Linked DNA regions of Caenorhabditis elegans. The protein of the gene in region 2 purifies or fractionates together with the protein of the main gene of each other region. This does not show direct contact. Each region holds a gene or a part of one and is shown on either strand. Other genes may lie near its edges.

Evidence for each region.
Region 1: the proteins of F26D2.15 (region 2) and ensa-1 fractionate together in Caenorhabditis elegans (co-fractionation; one large-scale study listed by BioGRID). This does not show direct contact.
Region 3: the proteins of F26D2.15 (region 2) and wrt-2 fractionate together in Caenorhabditis elegans (co-fractionation; one large-scale study listed by BioGRID). This does not show direct contact.
Region 4: the proteins of F26D2.15 (region 2) and smg-1 fractionate together in Caenorhabditis elegans (co-fractionation; one large-scale study listed by BioGRID). This does not show direct contact.

What each region holds. Positions count from the first base shown.
Region 1 is NC_003279.8:9,848,435-9,853,926, forward strand, and holds ensa-1 (mRNA stability protein), read right to left. Parts: upstream 3,358-5,492; 5' UTR 3,288-3,357; coding exon 3,120-3,287; intron 2,979-3,119; coding exon 2,751-2,978; intron 2,700-2,750; coding exon 2,610-2,699; intron 2,244-2,609; coding exon 2,205-2,243; 3' UTR 1,564-2,204; downstream 1-1,563. Other genes in the region: Zwei Ig domain protein zig-1, read left to right, coding at 88-156, 224-309, 505-589, 640-801, 1,315-1,427.
Region 2 is NC_003283.11:16,434,828-16,440,022, reverse strand, and holds F26D2.15 (DeHydrogenases, Short chain), read right to left. Parts: upstream 2,178-5,195; coding exon 2,141-2,177; intron 1,979-2,140; coding exon 1,551-1,978; intron 1,508-1,550; coding exon 1,337-1,507; intron 1,293-1,336; coding exon 1,089-1,292; 3' UTR 951-1,088; downstream 1-950. Other genes in the region: F26D2.14 (ShKT domain-containing protein), read right to left, coding at 3,287-3,687, 3,733-3,988, 4,061-4,168; F26D2.13 (ShKT domain-containing protein), read left to right, coding at 4,413-4,520, 4,564-4,804, 4,854-5,195.
Region 3 is NC_003284.9:3,090,924-3,096,503, forward strand, and holds wrt-2 (WaRThog (hedgehog-like family)), read right to left. Parts: upstream 3,427-5,580; 5' UTR 3,374-3,426; coding exon 3,284-3,373; intron 3,199-3,283; coding exon 3,007-3,198; intron 2,957-3,006; coding exon 2,861-2,956; intron 2,803-2,860; coding exon 2,639-2,802; intron 2,590-2,638; coding exon 2,514-2,589; intron 2,437-2,513; coding exon 2,187-2,436; intron 2,139-2,186; coding exon 2,034-2,138; intron 1,983-2,033; coding exon 1,591-1,982; 3' UTR 1,472-1,590; downstream 1-1,471. Other genes in the region: pccb-1 (Propionyl-CoA carboxylase beta chain, mitochondrial), read left to right, coding at 1-810, 864-1,288; sec-3 (Exocyst complex component 1), read right to left, coding at 4,748-4,999, 5,049-5,147.
Region 4 is NC_003279.8:6,909,034-6,915,239, forward strand, and holds the start of smg-1 (Serine/threonine-protein kinase smg-1), read right to left. Parts: upstream 4,519-6,206; coding exon 4,474-4,518; intron 4,427-4,473; coding exon 4,340-4,426; intron 4,286-4,339; coding exon 4,140-4,285; intron 4,094-4,139; coding exon 3,817-4,093; intron 3,774-3,816; coding exon 3,507-3,773; intron 3,222-3,506; coding exon 2,997-3,221; intron 2,607-2,996; coding exon 2,494-2,606; intron 2,415-2,493; coding exon 2,305-2,414; intron 2,258-2,304; coding exon 2,127-2,257; intron 2,058-2,126; coding exon 1,927-2,057; intron 1,883-1,926; coding exon 1,727-1,882; intron 1,669-1,726; coding exon 1,525-1,668; intron 1,037-1,524; coding exon 884-1,036; intron 189-883; coding exon 54-188; intron 15-53; coding exon 1-14. Other genes in the region: haps-1 (Essential protein Yae1 N-terminal domain-containing protein), read left to right, coding at 6,026-6,206.

The DNA.
Region 1 (5,492 bases), on a different chromosome or scaffold from region 2:
TCTAGGTAACAATGGAATTGTTGCTAACAACACATGTGTGTCTACGTCTCTACATCTCCAATACTATTTCATTTTGTTGTTTTGCAGATGCCGGCGAGTACAAATGTGAGTTGGACACACCACACGGAAAGATCAGCCATAAAGTCTTCATTTATTGTGAGTGAGGGAATGATGGGGCAGGTGACCCCAAGGAAAAAAAAACATGAAAATAATGAAATTGCAGCAAGACCTGTTGTACATTCTCACGAACATTTTACTGAGCACGAAGGACATGAATTCCATTTGGAAAGCACTGGAACTACTGTTGAGGTATGCACATTTTTTGTGGTTTTCCCACTTTTTGGTGAAGCGTGAAAAAAGATTTTGCTCCTGAAGCTACCTTTAATAAACCTCAAAAAATTTGGGTTCTTTTGAATTAAAAAAATCGTTTTAAAGTAATACAAAATAAATATTTTCTAAAAATACAAAACAATTACAGTAATCATTTCAAAAACTTTTTTCCAGAAAGGAGAATCAGTGACATTGACTTGTCCAGTAACAGGATACCCGAAACCAGTTGTCAAATGGACAAAAGATTCTGCCCCACTTGGTAAATCATATTCAAATCTTTTTTTTGTTTCTCACCTGATGAAATTTCAGCTCTCAGTCAATCAGTTTCAATGGAAGGAAGTACTGTAATTGTTACAAATGCTAATTACACAGATGCTGGAACATATTCATGTGAAGCTGTAAATGAGTATACTGTAAATGGAAAAACAAGTAAAATGTTATTGGTCGTTGATAAAATGGTTGATGTTAGAAGTGAGTTTACATATTCTTTTCTGAAAAAAATTTCAAAAAAGCCTCTTAGAAAGTTCGAAGAGCCGAAAATCCGCACCTTCGTCTACATATCTATTTTCAAATTCGCGCGCAAATGGGTTTAATTTCCCGTGTACTCCTCTTGGACTATAAAATAATTAATGTTTTGATATTTTGTATTTTCCTGGGATTTTTCTGAGCAACAGAACAGAATTACTAGGTTTCGAATTGATTTTTTCAGAAAACTGAGAATTGTTGCTTTTTAAAAACATTTTATTGATGGGATGTTTGATTAATTCATAGATTTTTAATCGTCTTCACTGCAATTAAATAAAAGAAGAAATAATGTAAAATTATTAAAAATACGAAACATTGTCAAACATTTAAAAACCCATTTTTTTGTCCGAGAGGGGTACACGCCGAATTTGAAAACAGTTTGAATTCCAAATAGGTTTCTACATCTTGATGTATTTTCCAATTTCTCCGATTTCTGATCGTTTTTATTTCAATTTTCAGGTGAATTCCAATGGGTGTACCCACTTGCTGTTATCTTGATAACCATCTTTTTGCTGGTCGTAATCATTGTTTTCTGTGAATGGAGAAACAAGAAATCCACATCCAAAGCCTAAAATCTGTAATTGGAATCCTTATTTTCTAGGCCTGAAACATCTTTTTGAATACTTTTTTAAACTCAACTTTACGGTGTAAGTACAGCCTTCCTAACAAATTATACCTATAGTATTGCTCTATTCTTTTAAATTTCATATTTGATACCTCAAACGCCTTATTTGCCTCTGCATGTTTTTTTTGTTCAATGTTTCGTTAAATACAATAAAGTTCCAAAAAAGGTTTTAGGAGGAAATTGAGAATGGGACAGACCAGAAAAAAGAAGAGAAATCGGGAAAGTGTTTGAAAAGAGGCTAACTACAGAACATCATTTTCAGAGTTTTTAAAGAACAATTGATGTAAAACTTAGAGAGAATTGTTGTGCGGATCGACAGAACAGTGGTTGTGTATATTGAATACCTGTTTGGAAACGATAGCTGACAGCAACTGATAGAAAAGGGAACAGAAATAGGTTGGGAAGGTGTTGAGAGAATGGAAAATGTGCTTTCAATGTGACTTATGAGAGAGAAAGAAATAGCAAGAAACAGCCTTTTCATGATGATGATTATGATTGGATTGGTTTGCGATTTTCGCGGGAAAAGGGTAAAACGGATAAAAAGTATAAAATAATAGGATAAAACTGAAAAATTAGGAGGGAAAATTGGAAGGGATTACATTTGAATTCCAAACTCCAAAGTGATTGATAAAATACTGTGCACAATATGTTGAGGATGAAACGAGAGATGAACAATTTTCAGAAGAAGATGTGTATACATAAGAAGCTTCCTTTGAAAATCGACTTATTCGCTTGTTGCGTTTGGAGAAGCCGCATCGTGATGCTGAAAATAAACATTTTTGGAAAATTTAAATCCCCTTTTCGCAACATCGTTCAAAGGAAAACGTGTCTCAATTATCAGCTTTCCCATTTTATTGTTTGCGCTTCAAATGCCCTTTCTGCCAATAAGCACACAAACCAGACTGTCAGATAGCTCAAACCAAAGGTTTTTTTTCTGTTTTTCGCCAGTTTAGTTCTCTCCCTCTCGCCTACCACTGATTACGCCTAACAAAACGCGCCAAAGAGCCTAATTGGACGCGTTCTGCGTCTCTATTTGACTGTCAGATCAGGCAACACCACCACCCAAAAAAGTGCAAAAAAATGCGTGAATCCTCGCAATATTTGCTTTGTTGATATCCAATTTTCTCACCTGAACATGCGGCGCTGGGCTCAGTTTGCAGTGCACACTTGGGTTGATAATCGAAGCTTTTCGCTGTGGAACTGTGTCGGGACGCGGAATCTGAAAAAAGAAAACGTTTGTGCTGATCAGCAGCGATCATTGAAAAATCACCTGCAGATTGTCATCATCACTATTTCTATCAGAACTTGGCCGATTTGTCTGCTGTGAGATCGGAGAAGCAGATGGAGACGGAGTGGTTGCTGCTGGTGCAGGACTTCTCTGCGCGACAACTGGGGGAGCTGCTGGTGGAGGTCCTCCGGCCAGTGGATGCGGTTTGGATCCCAATCCTGTTCCAGCTTTCGACTTGTCCATTGCATAATCTCCAGAGTCGAAAAATTTCTGGAAAATAATCGATTTCATTCTGTTGTTTTTAAATATGACTAATTGTCTTCTAAAAATGCTACAGTCTTAATCATACTATTGATGCTCTGCAGCAACAAAAAAACTATGACTCAATAACCGTCCGAGCACAATACCTACCCTCTGTTGCAACTTCTTCTGCAAAAATGAACTGGCCGGTCGAGCAGGAAGTTTACCAGTTGCCGCCAATTTGCCCATAAGCTCTTGCTCTTGCTGTTTCTCTGGTGACAAGGCTCCGGTCGCGATTTCACCACTGCTGACGGCCAACTCTCCGGCTTCTCCTCGCATTTTGATTTTTTGAGTTTCGGGAAGAACTGTCGAAAAGGGCAACAGAGTGTCTAGTTGATCTACCCGAGTTCTGTAAATATTTTAATATATATTTTAAAAATTGATATTCAAAACATAAAAACGATGTACTCAATTTGTTCGAACCGTCGAGAGTTCAAAAATGAGAAAAAAAATTATGTAAAGATAACTACAATGAAAATGAATTGTGAATTAATACTGTCGATCATAGATGTATAGAAGACGAGAGAAGGTTGTCCGAGAGTGGAAATGTTGAAAACAAAAATAATACTGTGTCATAGACATGTCGATTGGACATTTTACAGAAAGAAAATTCTGAAAAAAAACCATTAAATTTGTGTTCCTCGGTTTCTCTCTAACGGGTTTTGAATTAATTTTCAATTGAGACGGAAAGATTTGATGTGCATTACTATCTACTCTCGACGCTCTAGATTTTGCTATTATGGCATCATCATCATCATGTGACAACCAAACAACACTAGCAATAGGGGAAGGGAGAGAGAAAAAAGGAGGAAAAAAACCTATTAATAATTCCAAGCTGCATTTTTCTCATATTACTTGAAAACAACATGGGACGAATGGAAGTGTGAGATAAAATCAATAAGAAAAAAGAAAAACATCGTACAGTTCGGTTGAGTGATCAGTTAAGAGTGAATGCACACTTAAGTGATAAGGCTGGTTGTATAGACAAGACAAGTTTCCTAAAAATAAATGAGACTGACATGTGTGTCATGAGATATTATTGTGTTGAAATGGGCGAAAAGAAGAAGAGCGATGAGGGCTATGTCGAGGATCACCGCCGTTTCCATAGCACCTAATCCGGTAGATATATTATATACGTCAATGGGAATGAAGAGTGGAAGATGCTATGGATAAATCCACAAAGTGGCAAGCAGTCACACTTTTTCTATAGAATAAGACGAAGCGAAATGTTGTTGCTCGGGGCGAGAAAGCCAGAAAAGACGAGGCGCATTGCACGAGCAGCATGGACATGTATGCGTGCGACGGCGCCTGCCCCGGTTCGATAATGAGCAGAAAAAAGCAAATGAGCTTGGAGCAGAGACGGGACGAGGATTGCTATTGAGTTTTTGTGGGTCAATTGTCACGTATTAGCAGGGGATTATATGGACGATGTTCAGTATTATTCCATTAAGATCACAAGCCTTGAAATAAAAGGAATGACATACGAGAAAAACAAAATGTGGAATGGAATGACTCATAGTCAATAAAATGAATTTTGACGAAAACTAAAACGGTTCTATTAAAAATAAGATGAATGGAACAGATAATATTAAATAGATAATAATTGGGATAGTCTTCAGTCCGTCCCACTGATAAATAAATAGGATATCGACTGAGAAGAGAGAGAAAGAGAAAAGCGCTATTTGCACTCAATGTCTCAAGAGTTCTTCGGTTCGAGCACGTGGGAGAAAGGAAGAATCAGTGACGACAGGACGGTTATCAATCAATATGAAATAGTTATGTGATAAGCGGAATATAAACAACATTTTTTGAAAAATAAATGTTTGAACGCCTAGATAAGAGTTTGTAAAGTAGTTTTCCTACAGCAATAATTTTCTGCGAACAAAAATTGAATACATTTTTAATATATAAATAAAAAGTTGAAATTTTAATTGGCGAAAACTTGAGAAACATGAGAATTCAGAAGAAAAACAAAGCGAAATGCGTAGGATTTTCAAAATTAACTGATAAGGTCTCGCCACGATGCGCCAGAAGTAATGCAGAAACTACGGTGGGGAGCAATGTCCCTTTAAAGCTCGTCAGTGTTTACGGGAACATTTTTGTTTCGAAAACAGATTGTAAAATCGAACAAACTTTATTTTTCTAATTCTTTGAATGTTTTCTTATGATTTAATGATAAATATTAAATTTATTAGCTTAAATACATTTATTTTTTAGAACAGCGCAAACGGCAAGACGATCGGGCGTTCAAAAATGCGGAGCGAATCAACAACAAAAACATCAGGTATTTAAAAAAAAGTTATTTTAGCTTAACGAAACAAAGAAATAATTACTAGTCTAGTAAAAATAAACTCAAACCCTCTAAAAACTATAAAGTATCGATTCGTGTGTCATGTCTAGTATCGAACGGCATGGCGCGGGCACTCAGGCCTCTAGCCCCGGTGTGAGAAGAAAGAAAGAGAGACGGCGACAGTGAGAGATAAC
Region 2 (5,195 bases):
AAAATGCAGCAGATAATCATTACTTCACCGGAGGAAGAGCACCATGTGAGACTGATTGCGACGCTGGACTAGGGAAAACTCGGACAGCAAGTTGGGAAAATGGTGTTGCTTCAAACACTGATTATATGACTGATTTTCAATCCTATACATCGCTACCCAATCAATACGTTTCCATAAGATCAAATTCTCGTCCGCTACATATTCAGTAGGTTAATACAATGAATAAAGCTTAATAAAAGTTTTATTTCAGCCCGCTGACAGGTGGCAATGCATATGAAACGATGCTCTACATCTGTGGTAAAGCTCCAAAATTGGTTCGTTCGGAAGCGAAGGTCACTGGTCTCAGAACTGGATAAGCTCAACTTGTGTATTAGAACTGTTTCGAACTCTTCAACTTAATTGAGGAATGTTTTTGAATGAAGATATGATTTAAACATTGGCGTAGCCACACAAGATTGTTGGAGGGCGCGATACTAATTGAAAAATACGAAGAAATGATAACGTAGTTCAACACATAGCGCTCTAAAATCTTTATTTAGTAGAAAAGTTTTACTAATGTTGTTTGACGGAATTTGCATGGTTTCCGTTTTTCTTAAACAACTAACAGTTTTGTTCTTGAAACTGCTTGAATTGCCGTGGAGGTTTCAGAAAATTCCACAACGTTTCAAGAGATTCCACAATTTCATCGAATTTTTCGGAAGTTTTCACTTCATGTCAGTCACTATTTTCTTAAACTTTTTAGAAGGTTCCAGAAAATTCAAAAATTTTGGAATTTTCCGAAATGTTCTAGAACATCCCAAAGTTTTCTTGAATTTTTCAGAAAGTTTCAGAACGTTCTAGATATTTTGGATCATTTCAGAATTTTCCAAATTTTCCAAACGGTTCCAGAAAATTCCAGAATTTTCGGAATTTTCAAAAAGTTGTTATTCGAGAAAAAATATTTATTTGAAAATACGAAAATAGGAGATATATAAAACTTTAAAAATGTGTCAAACAAAAAAAGAGAGGAAAGAAGTTATTTTGAAAAAAGTTATTTTTTACGTGTTCAGTGATTTATCAACAAAAAAGGAGAAGAACGCCTCCCCAATTCATGCCTTCAAAATGTCAAGCATATCATGAGCGTGCATTCCCATCACCAACGAGGATCCTCCGTCAGCTATGATTGATTGTCCGATGATGTATGAGGACATGGTTCTATCCGCCAAGAATAGAATGACTTGAGCAATGTCTCCAGGTTGAGCAATTGCACCACTCGGAGCACACTCCTTGTGGGATTCGTAGAAGCTTATGACCTGGTTTAATAAATATTTTAAAAAGATCACAATATAAGGTTTACCTTTTTCATCGCTATTGGTGGAAATCCCATGGCTTCTCCGAATCCTGTCTTAGTAAATCCAGGACTGACGGAGTTCACGCGGACTCCGTGTTGGATCAGAGAAATCGCAGAGCTTCTAGTGAACTGATCAAGAGCTGCCTTGGACATTCCGTAGAAAGTTGCTATGGGGTCCTGTGGAAAGTTGAATTAAAGTTTAGTTCCAGCGTAAACTTACCCCATGGTGTCCTGCTGCCATGGCAGAAACATTAATGATTTCTCCCTTTGATTTGATCAAATGCTCCTTGGCCTTTTGCACCAAAGTAACCACACTTCTCATATTGATCTGCATAGTGTTATCGAACACCGAAATATCCTGATCCATTCCAACACGCCCCTGAGCATCCATCAATGCTCCTCCGGCATTGTTCACCAAAATGTCAAGGTGACCAAATTTTCGAACAGTATCGTTGATAAGCCTCATCTGTCCTTCATCTGTGATCACGTCGGCTACAATCGCAAGAATATTTTCTGCCGGGATTCCAGATTTTTTTATTTCGTGTCGGGTTTCCTTCAGCCGCTCAGCATTCCTTCCGGTTATGGTAACTTTGGCCCCTTGTTGAGCAAAGAGGATAGCGGCGGCACGGCCAATTCCGTTGGAAGATCCTAAGAAAAACATTCATGAGTTTTGAAATTGAAATTCTAAGCCTTTTGTTTGACAAAATTGAACCAATGAGCACAATCTTGACATTAAAGCCTTTGTCTTGACATTAAAGATGTTTTTAAGGATGAGATTTCTTTCAAAAAATAAAGTAAAGTCTTACTCACCTGTGATCAGAGCAACTTTTCCAGAAAAACGAGCCATAATGAGCAATCTCTCGAAATTGTGACATGTAAATTATTGGGTGAGTATGTTTATATACCCACCCCGAAACTGTGACATTGATGGTACAAGAGACGCAGACGGTAGAAGAGGACACAAAATATCGGAGACTTGTGCTTGTTGTGTATAGGCAAAGAGGAGGAGGAAACACAACGTATTATGCTGGAAGATTTATGAAGAAATTAAATACTCTCCCAGACACAAAAATTGAAGTTCTAGAAAAAAGAAGCTAATTTGACAAGAATAATTGTAAATATTTCAAGACAAACATTTTGGAGTTTGGAAAAATTGAAAAAAAAATTGCTTACTATTAGAAACAAAATCTTAGAATTTGAAAAATTTTGAACACTTGAAAGTTTTGAAAAGCAGTCACATTTTTTGAAAGTCACACTTTTAGAAGTTTTTTATTTTCATTTTCCCGTAATTACCCCATTGGCGATGTGCTCTCTTTAAATACGGGTCGTACCATCAAAGGTGGAGCAGCGCCAGTGGGTATTTTGTCTAAATACATTTATAATAATCTAAAACGACCGAGCATCACAATAAAACACTCCGAGAAAGTTTATATTTTTTTATAATTTAGTTTTGGCAATTTGCCAAATTTTTGAAAAATATGAGCTTTTGAGGAAATCCAAAGCAATGTCACATGTTCCGACCCCTACAATGTTTAAACATAAATAATTAAAATATTATGAACGTTTAAAAATGTGGGAAAACAGTTTTTTTTGTGGATTTTCAAATTTATGAGTGGCAGAAACTGAGTAATTGTCATTTTTTTGACAGTAAATTAAAAAATTATTATGATATTCGGTTATTTTGACATCATAAGAGTAGTTTTTTCTTCTCCACTGGCGCTAATCCACTTTCAATGTTCAGAGTAGATACAAATTCTGCACATCACATGACAATGGGTCTTCGGACTCAAACAAGCTCACAATCAAACCTGAACAAACATGTACAACAATGGCCATTACATTTTGCAAAAAAAGAGGGATGTATGTATTACTAATTGCTTCAAAATGTGAAGTTTAATAAAATTAAATATCTTTTTTGCTCCTATAAATAAATAATCAATGCACTGAATATAATAGTTAACAAATTCTGCAAGTAGTTGCGCATGTTGCTTTTCGTCTTGCTACCGTATAGTGGGTGTTAGTGCAAAAGCCATTGGCCGCCCACGCAGCACACGAAGAACTGGAATCTGGGTTGTACGAGCTACAAGTGGAAGTGATAGAAGTTGTCGAGGAAGAAATTCGAGCACTGGTGGAAGATGGACACCTGGAGCATGTCCGTTGGCAGTTCTGGTTCACGAAGACCTGCATTCCAATCGAGTTACAGATTGAGGGGTCATTTGCACAGTCAGCCACTGCGTCTACACATCCTCCAAGATTACAGAATCCGCAAGCCGATGGGCAATCTTGTGCAATTATTGTTCGCCAGCGTTGATCTCTACACTGAGCAGGAACGATGGTGGCACAGTTGAGCCGGGGAACTGTAAGAAAGTTGGTGTATGTACAGAAATTTGGTTGTGACTCACACTCAGCATTTCGGCAGTTATAGGCACTAGTCATACAGCAAAGTGCACAAGTCTTCGGGCATGCTAATGCAGCATCTCTGATGACATCCGGATGAGCCGAATAAGGGGGTACTGGATTTGGTAATTCGCTCCAGCACCTGTAGGTGCGGATTTCACTGATCCCCACACGAGGTGGAGGCCCAGCTAACATGAGATTTTGGCAAACATAATCCGGGTAAACGTTGTCGCAGGCAACAGCGGATGGTAACCAGACATGCTAAATGAAATATTTAATGAACACAAATCAGTTTTCAGATATTCTTTTCCTTAAAAATTTTCTGTCACTTACGTCGCCCAATGTGGAGTCATATCTAGTGCAGTTAAAGTCTGGGCCGACTTCCAACTTGACACCCGAGATCATGCAAATAAAAATACATAGGTTTTTAATAATATACATCGAAGCTGGTCAGATTGTACCGTACAATCGCCTTTTATATCAGCTTACATATGTTTTGTTTGTTTAGATGTTTCACGTTTTTATTGTAATTTGTAATGTTTTAGGAATATACAGATGTTAAACAATCTTTTGTCTAATGACCACAATGCTTTTAGCAATGATTTCTAACAAACCATCTGAATAAACAAATCCAATAATTCGTTGATATAAAAACAGAGTGACCAGTTCAATCGATCAATTTTAAATGCATTTTCTGACATTTTTTGTCGTTTCTGTAATTTTTACAAGCGGTTCTCAAGCAGCTATTGGCCTTCAGCTCAACTGTACGACATACGATTCTACTCTAGGTGATGTGAGTTTCGATCTTTAACAAGACCGGTTCAACCGACTTTCAGTTTATCTACACGCCTTCAGCGACCGCCTGCGACAACGTTATCTCAGATGTTTCTTGCAGACGTTGGTATGGCACAACTATCGTTATAGCTGGAACCAGCGATGCTCGCCCCGCCTCATGCTTCTCAGATGGTACGGCAAGACCGAATGATCAAGGTATGGTCAGAGCTGCTGTTGAACTCTGCCCGAAACTTTGTGGGTTCTGCTGCATGACTACGGCATATAATTGCCGCAATGCCGACTGTAAGTTGCACATACTGTTCTGTACCAACTTCATCAATCTAGTTTGCAGTCCCTCGTCTCAATTGTGCCACCATCGTTCCTGCTCAATGCAGAGATCAACGCTGGCGGACAATCATTGCACAGGATTGCCCATCTGCTTGTGGGTTCTGTAATCTCGGAGGATGTGTAGACGCAGTCACTGATTGTGCAAATGACCCTTCGATTTGTAACATGGTTGGAATGCAGAACTTCGTAAATCAGAACTGCCAGCGGACATGCTCCAGGTGCCCTTCGTCCACTAGTACTCTCATTTCGTCGACTGCTATTAGCTCCTCTTGCACTTCGTACATCCCAGATTCAAGTTCTTCCTGTGCTTCGTGGGCGGCCAATGGATTTTGTACTAACAATTTCT
Region 3 (5,580 bases), on a different chromosome or scaffold from region 2:
GAGGATCTCTGTCATCCATTCACGCCAAAAAGATCGTCAAGATCATGAGAGAGGCCATGCTTGTCGGAGCCCCAGTCATCGGACTCAATGACTCCGGAGGTGCCCGTATCCAGGAAGGAGTTGAGTCGCTTGCTGGGTATGCCGATATCTTCCAAGAGAACGTGATGGCTTCTGGTGTCGTTCCTCAAATCTCTATGATTATGGGACCATGTGCTGGAGGAGCCGTCTACTCGCCAGCTCTAACCGACTTCACTTTCATGGTTCGTGATACCTCCTATTTGTTCATCACTGGCCCAGATGTTGTCAAAGCTGTTACCAACGAGGAGGTCACCCAGGAGGAACTTGGAGGAGCTAAGACTCACACTGTCACCTCTGGAGTCGCTCACGGTGCTTTCGACAACGATGTTGATGCGCTCATGAGCCTCAGAGAGCTTTTCAACTATCTTCCACTCTCCAACACTGATGCTGCTCCAATCCGTGCTGCTGAGGATCCATGGGACAGAGCTGTTCCATCTTTGGATACTGTTGTTCCATTGGAAAGCACTGCTGCCTACAACATGAAGGACGTTGTTCACGCTCTTGTCGACGAGGGAGATTTCTTCGAGATTATGCCAGACTACGCCAAGAACTTGGTCATTGGATTCGCCAGAATGAACGGACGCACTGTCGGAATTGTTGGAAACAATCCAAAGTTTGCTGCTGGATGCCTTGATATCAACTCTTCCGTGAAAGGAGCTCGTTTCGTCCGATTCTGCGATGCTTTCAACATCCCAATCATCACTTTGGTTGACGTTCCCGGTTTCTTGCCAGGTAAATTTTCCCGATTGAAAGTATTTCAAATATTAAATCAAATATCTTTTCAGGAACTGCCCAAGAGTACGGAGGTATCATCCGTCACGGAGCCAAACTTCTCTACGCTTTTGCCGAGGCCACCGTTCCAAAGATTACCATCATTACTCGCAAAGCCTTCGGAGGAGCTTACGATGTCATGTCATCAAAGCATCTTCGTGGAGACATCAACTACGCCTGGCCAACTGCTGAGGTTGCTGTGATGGGAGCCAAGGGTGCAGTCTCCATTCTTTTCCGTAATGATAAGGAGCACGCCGTTCAACACGAGGAGGAATACACTGAGCTGTTCAGCAACCCGTTCCCAGCCGCTGTCAGAGGATTCGTCGACGACATTATCATTCCATCAGAGACCAGAAAGAAGGTGTGCGAGGATTTGAACATGCTTGAAAGCAAGAAGTTGAAGAACCCATGGAAGAAGCACGGAAACATTCCACTCTAAATTTCCAGCACTACCCACTCCGCCTTAATCCATACTATTATGTTGCCATTTCACCGGCCTGCTCGGTATTTGACGTGTTTACTTGTGAATTTTCATCCCACATACAAAATGCGCCATTTGCGTATTCCAATTGTTCGAGTATTATTTCCTTTTTCCGTTTTTTTGTTTTGTAAAGTCATAATTGAAAATTGTATTTATTACTGTTCTCAGATAAATAGTAGATTTTTGTGTTATTAGTACGAGCTTTCGAAATGGGACAAATGAAATCATATGTGATAATTGAGGCTAGCTAGTTGGCGCTTTTAGAGGACTCCGAAAAATTTGGCAACACTGGTTAGAATGGCACGCTGGACTGGTGGGATGACCTGCTCAACATCTTCTACGCTTGGAATTTGAAGCTTTGGAAGATCCTCAAGTTTTGGGAGGGTCATTGGTGGAAGTGTAGATGTCATTTGAACCGGCATTTGTGGAAGAGCACCAATTGGCATTTGTGGAACTCCTGCTGCTGCTGCTACTCCTGGCTGAGCGACAACTTGTGGAGCTTGGAACATCATTGGTTGTGGGAACTGTGGGAGTGGGGCAAATCCAAGTTGTTGCTGTGGCTGAGCTGGTTGCTGCTGTTGCTGTGGTTGTGCTTGTTGTTGCTGCTGCTGCTGCTGCATCTGTTGTTGTTGCTGCTGCTGGTTAGCATAAACTGGAAAATGGGATATATCTCATTGTGATTCTGAAATTAGGCGATGCTAACCTTGTTGCTGGAATGCTTGGTGCTGTTGTTGAAGCATTGCGGCAAATGGGTCTTGGTAGTATTGTGGCTGAGGTTGCTGTTGAGCATATTGTGGATATCCAGAATCTAAAACATGCAATCTATATTAACCATAATTGATTGTTCTATACTCACATTGTCCATTTTGTGCGACTCCGTACGCTTGTTGAGAAAATTGTCCGTAGTTTGTGGCTGGATTCACAACTCCCGGGTAAGCGACTTGAGCTGGCTGTTGGACTTGTTGTTGTTGTGGAGCATATGGTTGAATGTTAAGTGGAGCTCCCTGTTGTGGAACTGTGACTGATGGTTGGTGAGTGACAACAGAAGAAGCTGTTGGGGTGGTTGCTGGTTGTTCAACAACGGCGGCGGCCTCGACGATTGTGTTCTGAAATTACTCCAAATAAATAGTGTATCATCCAAATTAATCGGAAATATTTGAGCATTTGCCTGAAAAGTTCTCACTTCTCGTTTCTTGTTCTCCACAGCTTGCTCTTCGTCGAAGCATGGCATTCGCTTGATAGAAGCAACGTAAACAACGCTTAAATTGAATTAAATTGGTCTTAGTTTCGAGAGGGAATAAAACTCACGTTCCATTTTCGGAAACACTCTTGCTCAAATTCGAGATGTAATCAAAAGCAACAAGTCTAGAACCATCCAAAACCTCTCCTCCAACTACCAATTGTCCTTGCTTAACAATAGCGTTTCCGCGATCCTCTGCGCTGATAAGAACTTGATAACTGCAGCATTTCATCTAAACGATGTTTGGAAGATTAATTAAATTGTCATTTCACTTTTCATTTTCAACATACCTCCAGTTGGTCAGCGAATGGATCCGATTGTGGTGAAAGCCCTCCAACCCACTCTCCCTCCTCGCATGTTTTTGATTTGTATTCATCAGTGCAAATCTGAAACAAAGTACACCGTTTTTTTTTGCAAATACATATAAATGACAAACCGCAAGTTGTGGAACAAAGTTTGGATTTTTGCTTGGGCTCTTGATGAATTGATCGGATCTTCTGAGGTATCCATCATCCTTTCCAGCAACTCTATAGAATTGAGCAGTTTCTCCAGCTCTTGTTCCATTTGCAGTCCATCCGAAGCATTTTGGTCTTGCACACCCAAGAACAGGGTAGCCAGATCTTAGTACCTAAAGTGAACATTTAGTATATGTACAGTTACAAATCATGGGCTTTATTAGTTTTCTGTTCTTTAAAAATCAAGGAGTTGCTCACTTGGAAAGTGTATGGAATAGCTGATTGTCCACAGTAGGAGGCAAGGGCCACTGGCACTAAAGCCAAAAGGAATATGATCGGCGTATGCATCCGAGAAACAATTGGCAGGTTGATTGTCAATGAGAAGCGATTTGAACTACAATGAAAAGCTGGGCGTGGAAGGGACAATGGCCGTCTCGACAACGACAAGAAAATAAGGTCATCAAAATGTCTTTTTGCTGCTTTTCCTCTATATCTCCCGTATTGTTACGCGCGCGCGGATCGGTTGTCCCTCCTTCTCCTCTCCAGATTCCTCGAGATAAGGCAAGTGAAAGTCAGATCTACAACACCGGGAGTGAAGCCGTAGGGGGGGGGGGGGGGGGGCCCAAAAGGCATATTCTCGTATCGGTTTCTATCAGTGCAACACTTTCACTTGCCGTATGTTTGTCACCAATAATCCGGATCGCGAATCAGTTTTTTCGGTGGCTACCCAATTTTCATCAAGCTATTGTTTTATTCAAGAAAAATGGAATCGGTGTGGATCTAGCCATGCGGTTAACGGAAGACGATTTATGACCGGCTATTCCACGCGTATGTGGAGCTAGATTTGTAGCTTGTTTGAAATTCCTACACTATTCGAACAAGTTATGTTCATTTTACTTTACAGAGTCTGATAAGAATTGAAAACCAAGAATAAATAAACATCCCCCCTCCCCTAATTTTACTTTTTCTACGTTACCATGTTTAGTGGTTAGATCGGTTTATAATTCTCTTATAAACCTTCACAGTTACCTCTTAAAATGTTAAATTTTGTTCTGAAGTTTTCCAAAATAGATTGCGGCCTATCAATTTTACCTTTAAATCGAGTGATGAAAAAAAATGCGCTGTTAAAACAATTCTTACATGAAATAGTTTTAAATAAGATATAAGTACAGGGTGGTCCATAATTATGGACCACCCTGTATAAATGAGTCAAAAAATGTATATAAGAGTAAAATGTAAAACATAAAGTGAGATATAAACGGAATAACATTATAGAAGTTGTTTTTATTAGATTTAAATCGTGTTACACCCCTTTTTTATTAAAAGTTGCCAAAGTGTGTTCTTCAGAAAACACACCATTTGCATGTCAGATTCTTAAGTTGACCAGTTCAATGCAAACATTCAGTCAAAATTTCTACAAATGTGTAACCAAGAAGTCAGTTCCGTGAAATTTTTGTGAGCATTTGAAAATACGTGAAATAAAAGTCACCAAGCAAGACATTTATTTTTCAAAAAAGCAAGCATTACTACTATTTTCGAATGGGGAACACCCGTAAATTTATATTACAGACATCAGTAATGTAACGAAGTTCACCTATTACAGAATAGATAAATAAATATATTACAAAGCATGGTTCAGTAAGTATTAGAGTTCTGATAAATTAAAACTAAATTTTAAATGAATTAAAACAACAAAATTCAATAAAATTATTCGTCGTAATATTAGTGTTGTTGAGCAATTTCTGAGAAGAACTGAAGTACAGTGTCAGTGGAAACTTCGAGCTCAATCTTCGAGCCTGGGTAACAAGTGAGAATCAGTTTGTTGTATTCCGCAATTTGCTTGACAAATTGCTCTTGCATATCTCTCCATACAACTTGCAAAAGTGATGAATTGGCAACCAGGTTCTTCTCAATTTTCTTGTACAGTTGCTCGAGTCCTTTTTTCACTTCTTTTCCCGGATGTTGTGAAATTACCTGGAAAATTTATGAAATGGCGATTTTGATGATTAACTAGAAATTCAACCTTTTTAAGCTCAATGCGACTGAATTGTTGTTGATACGAGATTTCATCAGGACGAATTCCACGCGTTTCGATAAAGTTGTTGACATTGTCGAAGAACGTCTGAAATTTTTGGAATACATATCGATAGTTTTGGGAGATTTTTGTTTAAAGGTGGAGTACCGAAATTCGAATGAGATGTTTTGAAAATTCCTCAAAAAAAGTTATGGAGGTTCAAAGTCGGAAAAAAGGTTTTGCAGCTAAAATCACAATTTTTACAACTTCTCGGTGTCGCAGCGTCTGGAACTTAATTTTTATTTATTGATCACTCTTTAATAAATTTGTTGGTCTTTTATTGGGCGTATATGCGCTGAATTGTTGGGTCTAAAATAGCAAAGCCTCAAATTTTGGTACTCCAACTTTAAACTATGGTAGAGTGCCTTTTTTTACAAATGTTGTAGAATGACAAGCCAAAATTAGAAAGAAAAAACTAGTTTAAAGCATAATAGTCAAGTTTTTTTTCAAGCATTGGCAGCACAGTATTGAAACATAAATT
Region 4 (6,206 bases), on a different chromosome or scaffold from region 2:
GACCTTTTCTGGAACTCAATTTATACGTAGAAAGGTTTTAATTATGAACTCACTTGAAAGTAGTTGGTGTTGCCTGTTTCAACAAGAAATTCGTAATTATTATAAACTCTTCGGCTCCAAAACTTGTCGATGTAATTGTCTTCTGTTGTCGTTCCTGTGACATTTGATAGACTGTAGACATGGATTGCCTGGAAAATAAATCATTTTACTTTTACGAAGTTGTATAAAAAACAAGAAATACTTTTTTTTTCGTTTTTTGTCTGGTACTTATGAATTTCAGTCTGTTTCAAATATTTTAAAGCAAATCCGTATTCACGCTACTCCACCTCCAGGCGATGAAAACAAGCTATAGACTGTCAAGTAGAGTGACGTTTGTTTTGGGCAAATTTCCAGTGTGTAATTCATGCAGAAACTCTCGCCTAATAGTTAGTTAGTTAGACGCAGGTGCAAGTAGGCATGAAAACAATAAAAGTCGCTTGTTTTATTCATTCGAGTAAATAAATAAACAAGAACCAGAGCTCAATGAGCTAATGCTCTCTAGTTTTTAAACTGAAATAACCAGATTTGAGGGTGAAAGATACCAGTTTTATACAAAGTTTTCAAATAAAATCTTGCGTTTTCCGTCTTTCATCATTTCGATTTAGCTAATTACAGGTTTAAAACTTCACAAAGAATGTCAAAAATAATTCAAAATTGTTTAGAGTATACGTGACCGCCGCCTGAATGTAGACACCGATTATCCGTCATTCAGTTCTTTTTTTTTTCGATAGTCATAAATACATAAACACTCTTTGAAACATATTGAGTGCAAACATTTTTTTGAATCAAATAGTGGAATAAAATCGAAAAGCTTGAAATAATTTTAAAGAGTTCTTTTCAATACCTGATATAAGTATTACAATCTCCAGATTCCCAAATTGTCGTTGCCTCCTTCCACTTTGCTTTTTTCGTTTTATCCGCAATATCTCGATGGATGTCTGACGTCAGTTCTGACCATTTTGTAGCAGTGGAGAGGATGGTCAATGCTTGATTTACACTGAAAATATATAACTTAGTTCAAATTTTTAGAAAATATGAGGAGAATAGAGAGAAAAGAACTATAATCAATCTAAACTGAAACTGACAGAAGAAACTAGTTTTCAGCATCTCGATTTCACTTTTATAAGTGCCAATTCAGAAAAGAATACTATTGATATACTTGTTTTCAATGAACAATATAATACAAGTCTTTCCTACAACCGAAAAACCTGGCCACTTCCCAGAAAACTATTTAGTATGTTGATATCCAACATGCAAACTTCTCAAAAATAAGTGAAAGAATTTTAAATTATCAAAATACGGAATATAATTATTTTTAATTAAAATTCCAAAAAGAAGTCCCAGGAATTATATATTTCAATGTTGGGCGCGTAGCGGGATATTTTAAAAATTGATTTTTTTTTGATTTTCCAGCAAGTGTTGCTTGGTACAAATGATTGAGAAAATGTGAAAACTGCTAGAAATTCAAGCAATTCAAGTGTATACCATTCATTATTCCATGTGAGCACCGACTGATGAATGACAGTATTCCTTAATCGAACCCATTCTCGTTGACTGAAACTATCACTTCCGATTTGATGTTCACAAGCAGTTGCAATGAGAGAGTGAAGCCATGAAGATATCATCAGTCTGAATCACAATTTATTAAAAATTGAAAATAAAATATAATGAATGCTCAAGAATAAACCTAGTCTTCTTCCACAATTTGTCTCCAAAATTGTTGATAATTTTCTGTAGAGCAACAACTTGTTTCCGTGCATAATCTCGTTTCGTTTGTCCTATACTTTGTCCAATGCTATCACCACGAACAATATAATCAGATTGAACAATGTAGAAGTCGTGACTGAAAGAATTGATTTATTAAAGTATTTATTCTGTCATACTCACGCTTTCAAATGTCCAACAAATATTGTGATAAATAGGTGATAGACTTCTGGATGATTTGAAGCAAGCCAATATTCTGTGAGTGGAAGTTCCGATGAGAAGAATTCAAAAATTGACGGACGGATTCCCATCATCTAAAATTTGTTCTTTAATTGTTAAAAATCGTTGTTTTCTGCGAAAATAATTGTTATTTTTAAACAAACCACAATAAGAGAACTCTTGGCACATGATATACTTTGAAGTGACGAAAAGAAAAGCAAAAGGATTGATTCATTCCATCGAATATTATCACTATACGGAGTATCTTCACTTTGCTTCAATCGTGACATGCTATCTGGAAATAATTAATCAATTGAATTCACAGATTTAATTAAAGTTAACCTATCATTATTTTCCTCAAATCCGTATATGTCGCTTGTAGATGATTGAGTGATGTAGGCGTAAGAAGCACAGAGACAAGATTGATAAGATCCTTGTATATCATATTATGTCTGAAATTATAAAAATTGATTTTGAAAAACATCGTACTCCCCGATACGATAGAGCATCGACTTAAAAACTTTTTCTCACCCAAACATTCGATTATCGCGGTTTTTGGGTGTGAAAAGTCCAGTTTCCGTGTTGAAAACAATCTGATGAACTCTAGTTTTGACTTGTGACTCTGCTGGAAGTTGTTTGACAATCTGAAATCAATTACATACACCAGCAGCTTGTATTACCCAGACGCAACATTTTGCGCCAACAATACAGCACCTACGCTCGACACGAAACATTTTTGGGAAATGCAGAATGATGTACACCTTTACAGGTTACAGTAGTTTCAAATTCTCGTTCAGTGCATCAAAGTTTTATCATAGTTTTTCAAATAAATTTTAATAAATCGTGAAAAAAACGTTTAAAAATAGCAATATTCCGCAGCAACAAGGGTTTAAAAGTACAGTAATAATAGGCGCACACCGTTTCGCATTTAGCAAAAAGTTGTCGTGTCGAGACCAAGTACCGTAGTTTTAGTTTCAGCGCCAAATTTCGGGTAATACTCTAATTTCGGATATTTTTGTGGCAAAAAACCAAACCTTTGCAAGAGAATTGAAAAATGCTTGTTTCTCCATAGTACTCTGATTAGAAAGATTCAAGTCTTTCAGAACATTGCACAATGATTCTTCAACTCCTTTTTGCAATTTTACATCATCTTTTCCCAATATCAAGAGCTCATTGAAAACATCACAAACGATAGTTATAAGTGAAGCTGATGACCATTTTCCTCCGTTTTCCTCGAGTTCGATAGACATTTCAGAAATCTGAAATTTATTGAATAAAAAGAATAATAAGCAGTTTGTTAACTTTTTGTTGGGAAAATCTGTTTTTGGTCCACGAACTTGAATTTTAAAATAAAGATGAATTGAATAAAATCAATATCACACTTTAAAGAACAAAATTAAGTCCTTGGAACTTATTATTCACAAATAACAAAATAAATATTTCAACTTTTTGAGAATTTGCCTTTCTAAAGCTTTTTTAGATAATTTATTTTTGAAATTTTCAGATATTTCAGCAAATAATGTGTTCCCTCATCATATTCTCACCATCTGATTAGTCTCCTCAAGCATTTTTTGACTTTTCGCCATTTTCACGAGTGCCATTGTCAGTTTCATTCGTTTCTTCAATTCTCTCATATTTCCCAATCCATTCTTTTTGATATCCGGTCGAATAATTCGAACCATTTCTTCTGCCAAATGAGGCTTCTCATTAAGTTGATCAGAAAATCGCATCACTGTATCAATGAGAAGCTCAAAATTCTTTTCATGACTGTTGAAATCGGGAAGGTTGGTCAGAATTGCTCGGAGGGTTGACTGGAAAAAGCGAAATTTTTTTATTATTTTTCAAATAAAATACCTCAAACATTGCAGCATAAACATTTGGAAATGTGTTTGCAACAAGTACAAATCCTTTCAAACAGTGGTTATAAACTGATATTGATGAATTCGGAAGCACTTTGATTATCCAGTCTAATGATTTTTCGACATTTTCAGTGTCGGTAGCAATTAGACGATTCTCCGTTTTTTGACTGATGACTCCAACGATGAAATACACTGAAAACACGATATCCGCACGTGTTTCTTCACTTTTCTTCGTAACACTTTGATATAATGTTCCAAGATAAATCAGAAACCTGAAAAATTTTTATTTTATATCTTCAAATGGCAAAATTCACAAACTCTGGATAGGATTCAGTATCAAAGAGTAAAACTCCAACAAGTCGTATCACTTTTCCAGCCAGCGTTTTCATGTCATTCCGATCGTGTTTTGTGAGACTAGGCCAACACAAGTTATCCAAAAGATAAGTCCATTTTACACAAAGACTCTGTAAAATAATAATTTCTTGGTTTTCCGTAATGCTTCCGAAGGGAAAACAAACCTCTACATTTTTCGTAGTTTGAAGAATCTCCTCGATTCTAGCGAGAATCGCTTTCCGTTCCTTCTGTGGCGTGTCACGTTGACGAAACTTAATTTGATTAACAATAAATACTTTTCTCCGTTTATCACATTTACCTGTTCTATCAGGTTCCCAATATCATTGTTTCTCGATGTTATCATTTTTTGATCGCACGGAAGGTTGCATAGGCTGAAAATAAAAGTTGAAACAGGAAAAAAGCCTGAGAAACGAATACAAATATCGGGAAAATTGAATAAACGAGAACAAAATACCTTAATGTGTCGGGCCGTTTAAGGATTTTAAACATTTTTCTCGGCCGGACTAGCATCGTCACGTGTCAGAAATAAATAAAAAAGGAAACTTAGCTTTGAAAATGAAAATGTCACGTTAAAATGTTTTAAGCAAATAAAACATTGTGATTTAATGAAAATTCAAGCTTAAATAGATTTGCACCCGGAAAGACGAAACAAATTTTAATTTGAGAAGATAACTATCGATAATGGCACTTTTAATTGTGGTGCAAACGCTTCGTGAGACCGGACTCATGATTTTTGGTATGCGCCTTTAATACAGTACTCGTGTTGCTTTTCTTTTGTTTTAATACTTTTAAAAGAACTTTCTCACACTAAAAAATTAGATTTTATGTTCTTAAAAAATAGCAATAAAATCTCCAGTTCTGAAAATCAATAAAAATGTTGAAAAACTTCATAAACAGATGATCAAAAAGCATTTAAACTGTCGACACATGAGTCAGCAAACATGCTCCATTGCTAATCGAATGTTTTGTTTCGGCCGCTCTCTCTCTTTACTCTCTTTTCCTCATTTTCTGCCCGTTTCAGACACTTTTTTCATTGTTTCCCCATCGATTTTCGCAAAATTTCGAAAAAAAAATCGGAAGAAATGGCTTATTCCTGTCGGTTTTTATGAAAACATGCAATTGAATCTCAATTGATAATTCTGAAAACCTCGAATAACGGCCTCTGTATACCCACGTTTTTCGCAATGATTCGACGCCAATCGTTCATGTTTTTAGTTATCTTTTATGCCCTGCTTTCATACTCTGAATACAAAATAGTTTTACAAGAGCTGTTTTTTAAACATTATTAATTTCCCAGCCATTTATTTCCCCGATTAGCTTTTTCTCTAGTGTATTCGTAATGAGTCATTCATATTTCAACTGCTCATCCTTGAAAAATTGGTTTTAAATTTTCCATAACTCATTTTTTACCTCAAATCTTGCAAATTTACCAATAAATCCTTCATTTCTATCTTTTCATTTCATCTTTAAGATAACTTCTCCTCTCAATTTCTTGACCGGACGCACCCAATCGTTTTCCAATCTTTCTCACTCTCTCCATCTAACTATCTTTATTCTGTAATTATTTCGTCATCTGATGCTGATGTTCACCCAGAAATCGATAAATTAGTCGCTTAGAACTTGCTCGGGGAGCATAACTCCCATGCAATTGAAAGACTGATGAGATTGTGTAGCTAATCGATATTCGTTTTGTTGAATGAAACCTTGCTCACGCGATTGCCTAATCTTTGTTGAAAACATTAATTATAACATTTAAAATTCCCCGTTTTTTTTCTAATATTCTCGAACTTGATTTCCGACAGTTCTTTCTTTTAATAAAAAATTATGTTAATGTTTTCAGTTCGCATAATATGTCGAATCATCACTCGAGCTGTTCTTCGAGAACTGGCGGTGCCCACCGTCGTTGTGATTGTACTGAGGATCTGACGGAAAACGATAAGCTGTGGAATGACTTTGAAGGATGTGCTCAAGCTGTGGCTCGTCTCTATTCGGACTCCTCTTGGAGAAATTTCAGAGGCGCTGCAGAGGGAA